Linked DNA regions of Anolis sagrei. The main gene of each other region encodes a partner of the protein of the gene in region 2 in a complex. Links are inferred from orthologs where the notes say so. Each region holds a gene or a part of one and is shown on either strand. Other genes may lie near its edges.

Region 1 (7,135 bases), on a different chromosome or scaffold from region 2:
ACTGATTGTATAGAGTTCATGCTTCACTACAACATTAATCATAATGCTGGGACTGCCAGATAAAATATATCTTTGTTTAAAGGGATTTTGGAGATGATTCAAGCAAGAAGCTATAAAATTCTTGGACATAGTCCATATCACTTTGAGCCAGGAACTAAAGCTTAATAAACCAGCAACTGAGCAAGCAATATGCTGATGCAATTCACTCCTTTTTGGTGTAGGGAGATAAACAAAATATTTTTGGGGTTTTTTTTGTCTAAACCAGTGGTTCTCAACCTGTGGGTCCCCAGATATTTTGGTCTACAACTTCCAGAAATCCCAGCCAGTTTACCAGCTGTTAGAATTTCTGGAAGTTGAAGAACAAAACATCTGGGAACCCACAGGTTGGGAACCACTGGTATAAACAAACTAAACTAGACAATTATAGTAGTATTATATTGCTTTAATTGCCACAGTTCCACCTTACGGGGTCCTGGGATCTGTAGCTTGATGTAGTATTTACTGCTTGTGATGGCAGAGATCTCTAGGGCTGGAGTTCAGGATAGTTCATTAGAAAACCGTCACCACCCAAATCCTGTGGGATGGAGTCATGGCCATTAAACTGTGGATGCATGCCAGAATCCACAAGGCAGTAGCACACCTCATTTCACTGTCTGGTTTATCAAACCAAAACTCATGGCTTAAAGTGAAGAGAAATGAAACCACTATGTGATGTGGTGTCCTTAAACACTGTGTATTCAGTAACATTAATTTGGTTCCAAAACACTGTTAGGTTGTAGTGTCAGAATGTAATGTAATTGTTATGGGGAAAAATTAAAAGAATTTATTTTGTTGCATTTATCTGTTTGAGCCAGTTGTAGTCATCATATTGTTTTCCACATTTGGGGATTTTGTAAGATTTCTTCTCCTTTCAGCATTCAGAAGTTTGAGAATTCCCTCCCGCCCCCAAAAAACATAAGTTAACAAGACAGTCTTTTGTGCTATAAACTATCTCTTCTTGGTTGTTGACAGTTATTTAGTGGGAATGACACCAAGGAAGAGGAGTTTTCTTTGCATTCATTTCTGGCCTTGGCCAATTCGCAAACATCAAGGTTCCAGGATCACTTTGTGACACCATGTGACCCACAGAAGGAAAAGTGCTGCAAGAATGGCTGTTAGTCATCTCAAGATGCTCCAAGGATTAGGGTTAGGGTTATTAGTCAATCAGCTCCTGATTTGTCTGATAAAACCTTGGGACTTTAGGCGATCCCTCGCTATTCGAGTAGGATTGTCTTCCAAGATTGGTGTACTGGAGGTGGATCCGTAGGTGGCTGTGGAGCCCTATTCTTGACCTGCATCTTCTCCCGCAGTGAGGGCATTGGTTTCCAGGTGGAAGGCGGTCCCGGTTGGAGTTGGCTTGATATGCCTTCCTCTTGGCACGTTTCTCTCTTTCACCCTCCATTCGTGCCTCTTCTTTTTTTTTTTTTTTAATAATTTTTTTATTGATTTATCACATTTATTACATACTATTGCATTTTATACATCAACCTCTTTAACATGTTGTTTTATTGTTTTGCTTTGACAATTCCCCTCCTTTTCTCTTTTTTTTTCCTTTTTTTTCCCCCCCGCCACAGTACTCCCCTCCACCCGTCTCAAGCCACCATTCTTACATTTCATCTGTCCAAAATTTCATTTCTTCTTGTGACGGTAATTTTCCTTCCTTATTTTTTAATCCATTCGTGCCTCTTCAAATTCTATAGCACTGCTGGTCACAGCTGACCTCCAGCTGGAGCACTCAAGGGCCAGGGCTTCCCAGTTCTCAGTGTCTATGCCACAGTTTTTGAGGTTGGCTTTGAGCCCATCTTTAAATCTCTTTTCCTGTTCTCCAACGTTCTGTTTTCCATTCTTGAGTTCGGAGTAGAGCAACTGCTTTGGGAGACAGTGGTCAGGCATCCGGACAACGTGGCCAGTCCAGCGGAGTTGATGGCAGAGGACAATCGCTTCAGTGCTGGTGGTCTTTGCTTCTTCCAGCACGCTGACATTTGTCCCCTTGTCTTCCCAAGAGATTTGCAGGATTTTCCAGAGGGAGCACTGATGGAATCATTCTAGGAGTTGCATGTGTAGACAGTCCACATCTCACAGGCATCTAGCAGGGTTGGGAGGACAATAGCTTTATAAACAAGCATCTTGGTATCCCTACGGATGTCCCGATCCTCAAAGAGGACCTAATCTACAACTGAAACTTGGTGCCGTCCAGAGGGCAACTTGGTGACTGACATTGTACAACAATTCCTTGAATATAAACAGATTGTAACAGCTGGCTTAGAATGTAATGACATATCGCACATACATATGTATTTATTTATTTACAGTATTTACATACCACCTTTCTCAGCCCTTGGGGGGGCTCAAAGCGGTTAAATGTTTTTCCCCTGACATTAAGTCCAGTCGTGTCTGACTCTGAGGGTGTAGTGGTCATCTCTATTTCTAAGCCGAAGAGCTGGCGTTGTCCATAGACACCTCCAAGGTCATGTGGCCAGCATGACTGCACGGAGCGCTGTTACCTTCCTGCCGGAGTGGTACCTATTAATTTACTCACATTTGCATGTTTTCGAAGTGCTAGGTTGGCAGAAGCTGGGGCTAACAGCAAGAGCTCACACCGCTCCCCACATTCGAACCAGCAACCTTTTGGTCAGCAAGTTGAGCAGCTCAGTGGTTTAACCTGCTGTGCCACCGGAGGCTTCTTAGTAACATTATGTGACATGATTTTTGTTCCTGGGTTGTAAATGTCATTTCCTTTTTCTTTTCTTTCAAAAAGATAATACACCAACCATATATATTGCAGAAATATACAGGGTTAGTCAAAATGCATAGGCCAATAAGCCATTCAATTGAATGGCTTATTGGCCTATGCATTTTGACTAACCCTGTACACATACACATACACATACGTAGACAACCCGCCACCCACAGTAGTTACCCCTCAACCCACCCCCAGTGCTATCCGCCACCTTGGCTTCTGTCACTGATCCCCGCAGGATTTATGCACATCTTGTTTAACCCTCTATACTTCTAATTCAATAAATTCCTCTTGTTTTTATTTCTTTAGCTCTCCCATCAAGTATGCTAAGGCCAGCTTCCAGTTTCTTTCAAATATTTCATGACTTTCATATTTTAAATTGCTAGAAATCTTAGCCATCTGTGTGTAATCCCACAGTTTATCCTTCCAATCATTGATGCTTAATGTTTTCTCCCCTTTCCAGTCTTTGGCAATTGTAATGCGTGCAGCCACAAAGCTGTACAAACAAAATTCTCTCTCTGGTTGTTCAGTGTGTCCCCAGGTGTTTTGGCCTACAACTCCCAGAAGTCCCAGCCAGTTTACCAACTGTTAGGATTTCTGGGAGTTGAAGGCCAAAACATCTGGGGACCCACAGGTTGAGAACCACTGATCTAATCTATCCCTGAATATCCCTAATAGGCACATCCCTGGGTTCTTTTTTTTTACTTTGTTGTGAATCATTTTATTTGTTTCCTTTATTATTCTTTTCCAATAGACCTGCACCAGTTCACAAGCCCACCATCCATGAAAAAAGTCCCTTTCTTTGTTTTGCAATAAATGTCATTTCCTAATTGGTTCTATTATAAAAAAACATGGGGAAAGTTGATGAAATTGCAAAAACTTTGTTTTGGCGGGACATTCTGCAGCACATTTTGCTGTAGTCTTTCAATGACTAGGCTGGATCTACACTGCCATATAACCCAGATCATCAAAGCAAGATAATCCACATTGACTGCTTTTAATAGTTTTCCTCACAACTGAATAAAATCCTACTTGGAACTGGGATATATGGCAGTGTGGACTCAGGTATTCCAGTTCAAAGCAGAGATTGTGGGGTTATTCTGCCCTGATATTCTGTGTTGCTTAGTTGTCAACACATCCAGATGGCATTGGAAGAGTTGGGTCTGTTTACTTGCCTGGTCTTGCAATCTCAGGGTTGCCATGAAATCCTTTGGAGGGGTTTCCCTGGCCGAGTGTTGCGATTGGGGGAGGCCTTGGTGACGTTTTTTGGACTTCCTTCCCTTCCCTCCCTTGGAGACCGGGAGGCGTCGCCTGCCTGGGAGAAAGAGAGAGAGAGAGAGAGAGAGAGAGAGAGAGGCCTGCAGCGCCATGGAGACCGCCCGCCCGGTGAGGGGAATGAGAACACGCTCTCGCCGCGCGATAAAAACCCTGTCCGCACCGGGGCTGAGGAGTGGAGGAGGGGAAGGGCTCCCCCGCAGAACACCACTCAAGACCATCGGATGGGGCCGCCGCCTTAGCTGCCTTCAAGCCTGTGTCTCTACACCAGGCCTGGGCCAACTTAGGCCCTCCCTCCAGGTGTTTTGGACTTCAACTCCCACAATTCCTCACAGCCTCAGGCCCCTGGGCCTGAGGCTGTGAGGAATTGTGGGAGTTGAAGTCCAAAACACCTGGAGGGAGGGCCCAAGTTAGCCCAGGCCTGCTCTACACAGTTTGTATTCTGAGGTATCCATCGCCATCTCGCTTTTGTGTGTGTGCCTCCCTGAAGAGAGATGAAGCAGGCCTCCCTCTATACTGCTGCCCTAATCATGCAGATTGAACTGGATTATAAAACAATGTAGACTCTTCAATACAGGCAGCCCCCAGGTTACCAATAAGAAAAGTTATGTAGGTTTGTTCTTAAGTTGAATTTGTATGTAAGTCGGAACAGGGACGTGATTTAAGTACAGGGTGAGGCTGCATAACTTCCTTTTTTAAAATGCGTGCCATTCATTCGTTTGAAGACGTAGCGGAGCGCTAGTGGTCTCGTTCGAGAGGCGGGAATATAAAGTTTTGTCCTGACACAGTTCAGTCGCCATCCTGCGTTGGAACAGGGAGGAGTGTGCTTTGGCCATTGAGGCCTACTTTTCAAGCAGATTTGGAGTGGCCAGCCCACTCTCCAGAGTTGGCCCCTTGTGATTTTTTTTCTATGGGGTTTTTTGAAATCCCGTGTTTATGTGAACCGTCCAAGGACCCTACAAGATTTGAAGGCCAACATCCAGGAAGAAACTGCCAACATCACACCTGCTATGCTGGCAAGAGTCATGACCAACGCCAAAAATCAGTTTACTCAGTGTATGGAAAATGGGGGACGTCACCTACCTCATTTGATCTTCAAAACGACGTAAAAGAAAACTTTACGTTATAAATTTTTTTAAAAAAATTCTGATTCATACAATGGGTTTTATTAAGTTTTGAAAAAAGGAAGTTATGCTGCCTCAGCCTGTGTAACTCCAGCCATATATACCCACACACATATATACTGTATTTTCTTATGCTATCTAAAGCTTGCATATACATGTGTGTGTAACTCCAGACAAATGTGTGTGTATACAAATACACATACACACACATATATATACACACATACACATATATACATGCATACACAAACACATGTACACACATATACACACATACATATATATATATACACACACACATATATATATACACACATACATACATACACACAGATATAGATACATATATACACACATATGCACACACACACACACATATATATATACATACATAGATATACACACAGATATGTACACACACACACATGGATGGAGTTACACTTAACTTCATCCAGCCAAGTATATGTGTGTGTGCGTATACACACACACAAATAATAATAATAGAAAATGAACACACAAAAATACTGTGGAACTTTCGAATCTGGACTGACAAAGTTTTGGAACACAATACACCAGACATCACGATTGTAGAAAAGAAAAACGTTTGGATTATTGATGTCTCCATACCAAGTGACAGTCGCATTGAGGAAAAACAACAAGAATAACTCAGCCATTATCAGGACCTTAAAATCAAACTGCAAAGGCTCTGGCATAAACCAGTACAGGTGGTCCCAGTAGTCACTGGCACACTGGGTGCCCTGCCAAAAGATCTCAGCTGGCATTTGGAAGCAATAAACATTGACAAAATCATGGTCTGTCAACTGCAAAAGGCCACCTTACTTGGATCAGTGCGCATCATTCAAAAATACATACGCTTGGGAAGTGTTCGACTTGTGATTTTTTTGATACGAAATCCAGCATATAGGTCTCGTTTGCTGTGACATGCTGTGTTTTTGTGTCAGTACAATAATAGTAATAATACCTTTAACTTTGAAGGAGCTGGGGGTGGCCATGGCTGAGAGGGAACTCTGGCAAAAGCTGGTCCATGAGGTGACCAAATGAATAAACAACAACAATAATAACTTTATTTTTGTATTCCGCCTCCATCTCTCCGAAGGTACTTGGGGCGCCTTACATGGGGCCAAGCCCGATCAAGACAGTTAAAATATGACACATTAAAATAAAACAACATTATAACAGAATTAAACAGGCATCACATATGGAGTTTCACAAATATATATATATATATATATATATATAGAATTGAATAACTATCGTCATTGTGCTACTGCACAAAGAAATTAGAAATTTCCATAAATGCTTTCCCCAGCACACACTCATCACTCCACAACTCACACAGCCCTCAATGCCACACCATTGTGAAACCCAGAATATCCTACAATATCTGCCATATATCCCAGTTCAAAGCAGACAATGTGGGATTTTCCACCTTGATATTCTGGGTTATATGGCTGTGTGGAAGGGCCCTTTGATTTATGGCAACCTTGTAAATGAAGTATCTCCCTGCCATCAATAGCCCTGGCCAGACCTGACAGACCCCTTCCACAGCTTCCCACATTATCTGCTGGGATATATAGCAGTGTGGACTCAGATAAACCGGTTTAAAGCGGATATTATGGGACTTTCTGCCTTGATATCCTATGTGGAAGGGCCCTCTGAGCCTTCCCTATACTATCCAAAGGATGCATGCTTTTGTGTGTGTGTGTATGAAGTTGCAATTAAATAATATATTTGTTCTGACGCATACAAATTCAACTTAAAATCAAACTTATAGAACCCAACTTGGGGGCTGCTTATATTATATTTTTGCAGTACATTCAGCCATGCTACTTATATGTGTCATGCAGAACCGTTTTCTTCACAGTTATTCAGTATGCTTTATTAGACTTTATCATGACCATGTTGCCCCCTGTATTGTGTCATTGTATGCATACAT
Region 2 (7,658 bases):
ATGCCTGGTCAATACAGTTAAAGCCCGCCGCCCCCCAAACAGTCATCCAGCTTCAGTTCAAAAACGTCCAGAGAAGGAGACTCCACTGGTCTCTCAAGCAGTCTAGACTTTACTAGGGTTTGAAGAGACCCCCAAAGAACACCTAGTCCAACCACCTTAAGCCAACACAAGACTCAAAGTACCCATGTTTTCCATGGAAAACTGGAAAAATAAAAATTTATCACTATTAGGAAGGATAGCGACAATTAAAATGAAAATACTACCGAAAATGATATTTATTTTTCAAAATTTGCCAATAATAAGAAATATGAAATTATTTAAAGATTGGAATAAAGATATAAAGAAATTTATCTGGAACAACAAAAAACCAAGAATCCATTATAATAATTTAATAGAACAAAAGGATAAGGGAGGACTAGCAGCGCCAGACCTGAAACTTTATCACGAAGCAAGCGCACTGGTCTGGGCCAGAGATTGGGCAATGCTAAAAAAGAAAAAATTACTGACATTAGAAGGAGTAGACCTAAGGGGAGGGTGGCATCTTTACATTTGGTACAAGGGAAGGGAAAAAGAAAAATTTTTTGGAAATCACTTTGTGAGATCCGCAATCTCGAAAGTATGGGAAAAATATAAAAAGAAATTCCATACAAAGACACCATTATGGGTTTCACCATTGGAGGCAACTCAAAGGAGATGTATGGGATGGAATGATTGGCCAAAATATAAAGAAATCTTGAAAAACCATCAAGGAGAGGTAATATTAAAGGAACAACAGGAACTAATCACTATAGATAAAAAAATATCATGGCTACAATACTGGCAAATCAAAGAGAAGTATAAATTAGATAAAGAAGTAGGGTTCTCAAAGGGTAAAGATTTTTGGGATAAAATACTAGAAACAGAAAGGAAACCGATAACTAAACTATACAAACAGCTTTTAGAATGGCAACTAGAATCCAAAAAAGACAAAAACTACATGAAAAGATGGAATGAAAATCTAAGAAGAAATATTAGACAATCAGAATGGGAAGAAATTTGGAGGAAAAGATTAAAATACACATATGCCACAGACCTTAGGGAAAATTGGATCAAGATGTCATTAAGATGGTACTTAACTCCAAAAAAATTAGGGAAAATATATAATAACACAAGCTCGACCTGCTGGAAATGCAAGAAGAAAGAAGGCTCCTACTACCATATGTGGTGGACCTGTGAGAAAGCGAAAGAATACTGGAAGAAGATACAGAAAGAATTACAAAACATGTTAAAAATAAATTTACCAATGAAACCAGAATTGTTTCTCTTGGGAATGTATGATAACAATATAGAAAACAATAAAGACAAAATACTATTCTTAGCATTAACGGCGGCAAGGATGTGCTATGCAAAAAAATGGAGGCAGATAGAAACACCAGAAGAAGAGGACTGGAGAACGAAAATGCTGGATATTAGTAACCTAGATAGACTTACTTTTCTACTATTGAAAAACAAGGAAAGTGGAAGAAAAGAGACAGATTGGAAAGAAGTCACCGAATACCTAAGGAAAAAGATGAATGAGACAAGGATTTAGAGGAGAAAAGAAGAAATTAAGGATGAAACTCAAAAAAAAGAAAAAAGAGGGGAAAGAAATCTCAGAAGAGAAGAAGAATAAAGAAACTTTTTCTTTTTTCCTTGTTTCTTTTTTTTTCTTTTTTTTTTCTGCTTAGATTGTATATTCTATGACAAGATGAAACCGAATGAACAGAAGATTTTTGGAAGACACCAGGAGGTCGAAATATTCCTATTTTATCCTATCTTTTTTTCCTTCTATAACTTATTTTCCTATCTATCCTCTACTCCCATCTCTACCCCTCTTTTCTTTTTACTATCAATTTTCTATTCCTTCTTTTCTCTTTCCTCTCTTTATTTTCTCTCTATTTCTTTTCCTTTTTTTTACCTATAAACATACTATGTATGGAAAATTTCAATAAAGATTATTTAAAAAAAAAAAAAAAAGACTCAAAGTACCCATGGATGGCCATCCAGACAGATTTAATCACTACAGAAGTCGAGTGTTGGTGCTGTTCAAATCTAGATACAGTTCTAACTTTGGCAAATTCAGTTGCAATAATTAATTACCACTAATTTCCTAAGTTTCTATTTTTTTAAAAAAAATTAATGTATTGGCAGTGACATTTGTGATGAACCACATGGATCAGCTATTGAGGAAAGTACTGGCAATCCCCAAGTTACAAACATCTGACTTCACAAATGACTCATAGTTAAGAACAGAAATGAGACAACAGAAAGTGCGAGAAATCTACCCCTTGGAAGGAAAATTCACTATAATTACATATACTATATTATATCGTACCGCCTTGAATCACTGATAAGGCTGAGAGTATAGTAAATAATAGTAATATAGTAATATATATAAATGGTATAGTACAATATAGTAATATATAATACTGATATGGTACTATGCTAATAATATAATATATTGTATGTATATATATCTTGTAAGCCGCTCTGAGTCCCCTTCAGGGCAAGAAGGGCGGCATATAAATGTCATAAATAAATATATCGATAATGGAAAATTGGGGAGAAAGGGTGGATAAAGTAGGTAGTTTCTCACTGTAGTTTCTTCCACTTTAAAAAAGGGGGGGGGGGCACAAGCAGTTTGTAATGCATAGCAGACAAAGAGGTCTTTGCATGTACAGCAGAATAATATATGCTGTAGCAGGGAGACTTTGGAAGGCTGAGCTAGACTACAGAATGAATATAGCTGGGTTCAGTGCTGGGAGCTGTGGTTCTACAGGGCCTTGGGCCTGCTCTATTGGGGCCTCCCCACAATTCAATAATTGCAAGGAGCTCCAATGGGAGGAACTCCTTCCGCGCGCACGAGCTTCGAACGCGAAGAGCGCGCGCTTTTCCCCGGGTTGCTCTTGTTGCACTTACCTTTTTGCTTGCAAGGAAAGGCGGGGAGTCACGAGAAGGTTTCCCAGCCGTGCAACGAAGGCCTTTTCCCGGTGTAATCGCCTTCAGCCCGCCTTCAGCCTGGGCGCTTGGCAACGAAGAAGCAGCGGGAGGAGGAGGAGGAGCAACAGCAAGAGGAGGAGGAGCTCAGAGAGTGGCCTCAAAGGCCTCAGCACTGGGCCCGCCTTCGTCCTTCCTCCAGCCCAGAGGGAAGGAAGAAGCCCAGCATCTCTGTGTTTGTCTTCTTCCTCCACAGTGCATTATATACTCAGGTACCTTTAACAGCCTCACTAAACTACAAACCCCAGAACTCTGCAGGAGGCAGAAACCGGATTAGAAGTGGATTTTTTCTCTCTAGTGCAGTGATTCTCAACCTTCTCAACTCCCAACTATAACATCATTTGAGTTGCTACTTCATAACTGTATTTTTTTCTACTGTTATGAATCGTAATGATATATTTTCATTTGCTGGACCAAATTTTACCCAAATACCCAATACAAACAAATTTTGAATACCGGTGAGGTGGGGGATTGGTTTTGCCATTTGGGAGTTATAGTCGATGGGATTTATAGTTCACCTCCAATCAAAGAGCATTCTGAACTTCATCAATGATGGAATTGAACCAAACTTGGCACACAGAATTCTAATGACCAACAGAATATACTGGAAGGGTTTGGTGGGCATTGAGTTTTGGAGTTCTAGTTCACCTACATCCAGAGAGCACTGTGGACTCAATCAATGATGGATCTGGGCCAGACTTGGCATGGATTGAGTATCTGCCCAAATATGAACACTGGTGGAGTTTGAGGGAAATAGACCTTGACATTTGGGAGTTGTAGTTGATGAGATTTATAGTTCACCTACAATCAAAGAGTGTTCTGAACTCCACTAATCAGGCATGTAGCCCCCGAAATTCTCATGGTGGTTCGCGAAAAGGCCTTACTGGTGCATTATTTAAACTGTTATGTTTATTCATATCATGATCTGATCACCATACTCAATATATCCCATATGCATGGGGGTATTGGGGTAATGATACAAAAGGTTTGCTAGGCTAGACCCTCTTTCACTCAGACTCAGCCCCCCGAAACCCCCCCCCCCGAAATTTTTTTTAGCCCCCCCAAAACGAAATCCTGGCTATGGGCCTGCCACTAATGATGGAATTGAACCAAACTTAGCACCCAGAACTCTCATAACCAACTGAATATACTGGAAGGGGTTGGTGGGGATTGACCTTGAGTTTGGGAGTTATAGTTCACCTACATCCAGAGAGCACTGTGAGCTCAATCAATGTTGGATCTGGACCAGAATTGGCACGGATTGAGTATATGCCCAAATATGAACACCGGTGGAGTTTGGGAAAAACAGACCATGACATTTGGGAGTTGTAGTTGCTGGAATTTATAGTTCACCTACAATCAAATAGCATTCTGAACCCCACCAACAAACATCCCACACAGAATCGCCCCCCCTCCACCACCTCCCCCAAGCTACTAGCTCTTGAGATCTGCAAATGCAAACAGGAATTCCTGAGTTGCTGTGAGTTTTCTGAGCAGTATGGCTCCTGACCTTTCACTCACATCTATGGCAGACATCCTCAGGGGTTGTGGGGTCTGTTGGAAACTAGGCAAGTGAGGTTTATATCTCTGTGGAGTGTCCAGGATGGGAAAAAGAACTCTTGTCTGCTTGAGGCAAGTGTGAATGTTGCAATTGGCCACCTTGATCAGCTTTTAATGGCCTTGTAGCTTCAAAAGATTTAACGATGGGCTCAAAGCCAACCTAAAAAACTCTGGCATAGACACTAAGAACTGGGAAGCCGTGGCTCTTGAGCGCTCCAGCTGGAGGTCAGCTGTGACCAGCAGGACTGCAGAATTTGAAGAGGCACGAATGGAGGGTGAAAGAGAAAAACGTGCCAAGAGGAAGGAGCGTCAAGCTAACCCAACCGGGACCACCTTCCACCTGAAAACCAATGCCCTCACTGCGGAAGAAGATGCAGATCAAGAATAGGGCTCCACAGCCACCTACAGACTCACAAGAATTCTGATCCTGGAAGACTATCCTACTCGGCCAAGGAGGGATCATCTAAGTAAGTAAGGCGCAGGTTCGCAGCTTGGGTGTGACCCTGGACTCATCGCTGAGCCTGGATCCCCAGGTTTCAGCGGTGACCAGGGGAGCATTTGCACAGCTTCGGCTCGTGCGCCAGCTGCGCCCGTATCTTGGGAAGTCTGACTTGGCCACGGTGGTACACGCTTTGGTCACATCCCGCCTCGACTACTGCAACGCTCTCTACGTGGGGCTGCCCTTGAAGACGGCCCGGAAGCTCCAGCTAGTCCAGCGCGCGGCAGCCATGTTGTTAACCGGAGCGGGACGCAGGGAGCGCACTACGCCCTTGCTGTCCCAGCTCCACTGGCTGCCGATCAGCTACTGGGCCCAATTTAAGGTGCTGGTGTTATCCTACAAAGCCCTAAACGGTTCCGGCCCAAAATACCTTGAGAACCGCATCTCGGCCTACGAGCCCACGAGGACCTTGAGATCATCCGGGGAGGCCCTTCTCTCGGTCCCGCCTGCCTCACAGGCACGCCTGGCGGGGACAAGAGAGCGGGCCTTCTCGGTGGTGGCCCCCCGGCTGTGGAACTCCCTTCCTGCTGAAATCAGACAGGCGCCTTCCCTCATGGCCTTCCGCAGGGGCCTGAAAACCTGGCTCTTCGAAAAGGCCTTCAACTAAGTGCTATGTTTTTGGAATGACCACCGGAATGGATTATGACTACGAGATTGATTATGACCCCAAACAAGACGAAGCGGATTTTTAGTTTAATTAGTTGTGTATTAGTAAGATGTGTGTTATGGTCCCGATCTATTGTAAACTGTTGTCTTTATGTTCTATGTTCTGTACACCGCCACGAGTCGCCCTCGGGCTGAGAGTGGCGGTTAACAAGTGCAAATAATAAATAAATAATAAATAAATAAGTAAAGTATGATTTTTAAATGATTGAGAGTGCCATTTTTCTCCAAAAGATTATGGAGATTCTGGTTTTCCCAAACAAATGGCTACTAAAACACGGTAACTCGGTAAGAACCATTTGCAACTTGGTGTAACTGTAACATGTTCCCACCATGAGATATACTGGGTTAAAATTGGGTCCATCATTTTTCAACATCCTACACAATTCAGCACTAGCAGTATGGGTCAGGCTGATGCCACATACAAGATCTGGCTAGAATCATGGGTTTGGGGGCCTCGTTTGCCTAAATATAGGGAAATGCACCATGGCTGGGGCTGCCCTTGAAGATCTCTTGGAAGTTTCAGATATCTCCCATGGGAATAACAAAGTTGCAATCATTTGTTTGCTCAAACTTTTCTTTTTCTGGCCAGGGCATTTTAACTTTCATCAATTGATACAACTTGCTATTGTATTCACTACTCTCTTACTGCAAGATTGCTCAAGCTGCTGTCTTGGGTTTCATTGTATTTTATTTTTTAATACTTTTGTAAACACTATGGAATCTGCTTTTATCATTGGCGATTTAATAAAAACCAAAGTATTTGTTTCACTAAAGACTTTGTTTATGAGGAGAATGGACAAAAAACTAATTTTGATTTCAGTCGAATTTATTAGAGGAATCTTTCCTTTTGGTAAAGCCTAAATACATAACCCAATTTCAGTCAAACTAAGCAACATTACTAGCTTAAATTACTTAAAGGTTAGTAAAGAAAATAATATGTTGGATCCCAGTTTTGATAGGCCCTGGTTTTATTTTATTTTCTAAATTCCCTTTTTGTTGCACTTACGGTAGATAGCAATGCAAAAATGAAAAATATAAAGAGAAACAAAGGGTCATAAATATATTTAAAATTTTCTTTAGTGCAGTATAACATGTCTAAAATGGAAATAACATTACACACTTCTGAAATTTGTGCTCTTCCCTTCATAAATGACCTACATGTTGCATTTAAACTATAAGCAATAAATGGCTATGTGGAAATATAAATTACTCAAAGAAAAGATGAGACGTTAACTAAGACAGGGCAGATGCAGTACAGTAGATGATATATAACCCACTGACTGAGATAGATGGTTTTCCTGGCCATATTTATCGCCTAAGAGTTCAGATAAATGACTTGCAGGGTTAGATTTATTGCCTGCTGTAATAGAATTCGAGAATGTACTGGATGTTTTGCATTAAACTCCAGTTACCATTTACTGATTCACCAAATTTCTCATGAAAGCATCAATAAACCCATGTCATGTTAAGTATTAAAAAGGTATCAAATGTTATATCTGTTGGTGCCAATTTTAATATCTGCTTCATTTCATCATAGAAATAGGAAGCAATTCCATAATAGAAATATTCTCATGGGATCACTCCTACTTGTTACCCCAAAATGCTTTGTCTTCACCAGGGAGAAGTTTTTCCTAACTGTTCAAAGTAATTGATGAGCAGTTCAATACAGGGCATTATCTCACATTCTCATTGGAATTTTTATCTACCATAGAACTCTCAACTGTAATGTAATGACCTGAATCCTGTTGGGACCCTAGCATCAAAATAGTTTTGTAAATGGTTTGACTTTCACAAACACAGGGAAAGCACTTTTTCTCACTTTTGACTGTGCAGAGGAAGTTATTGTCACATGGTAGAATAGTAGTTCATGCTTTAGTCACCTCAAGGTTGTGCTTCTGTAAATTTTTTATCGTGTCAG

The links. Proteins that work in one complex are often made in the same cells at the same time.
Region 1: CC2D2A (region 2) and TMEM237 share a complex: the UniProt entries of both Homo sapiens proteins name them as parts of the tectonic-like complex. The link is inferred for Anolis sagrei from reciprocal best matches to the Homo sapiens genes CC2D2A and TMEM237.

The regions. Positions count from the first base shown.
Region 1 is NC_090021.1:164,683,101-164,690,235, reverse strand, and holds the start of TMEM237 (transmembrane protein 237), read left to right. Parts: upstream 1-4,047; 5' UTR 4,048-4,147; coding exon 4,148-4,165; intron 4,166-7,135. UniProt on the Homo sapiens protein: Component of the transition zone in primary cilia. Required for ciliogenesis.
Region 2 is NC_090025.1:108,186,561-108,194,218, reverse strand, and holds the start of CC2D2A (coiled-coil and C2 domain-containing protein 2A), read right to left. Parts: upstream 3,093-7,658; 5' UTR 2,938-3,092; intron 1-2,937. UniProt on the Homo sapiens protein: Component of the tectonic-like complex, a complex localized at the transition zone of primary cilia and acting as a barrier that prevents diffusion of transmembrane proteins between the cilia and plasma membranes.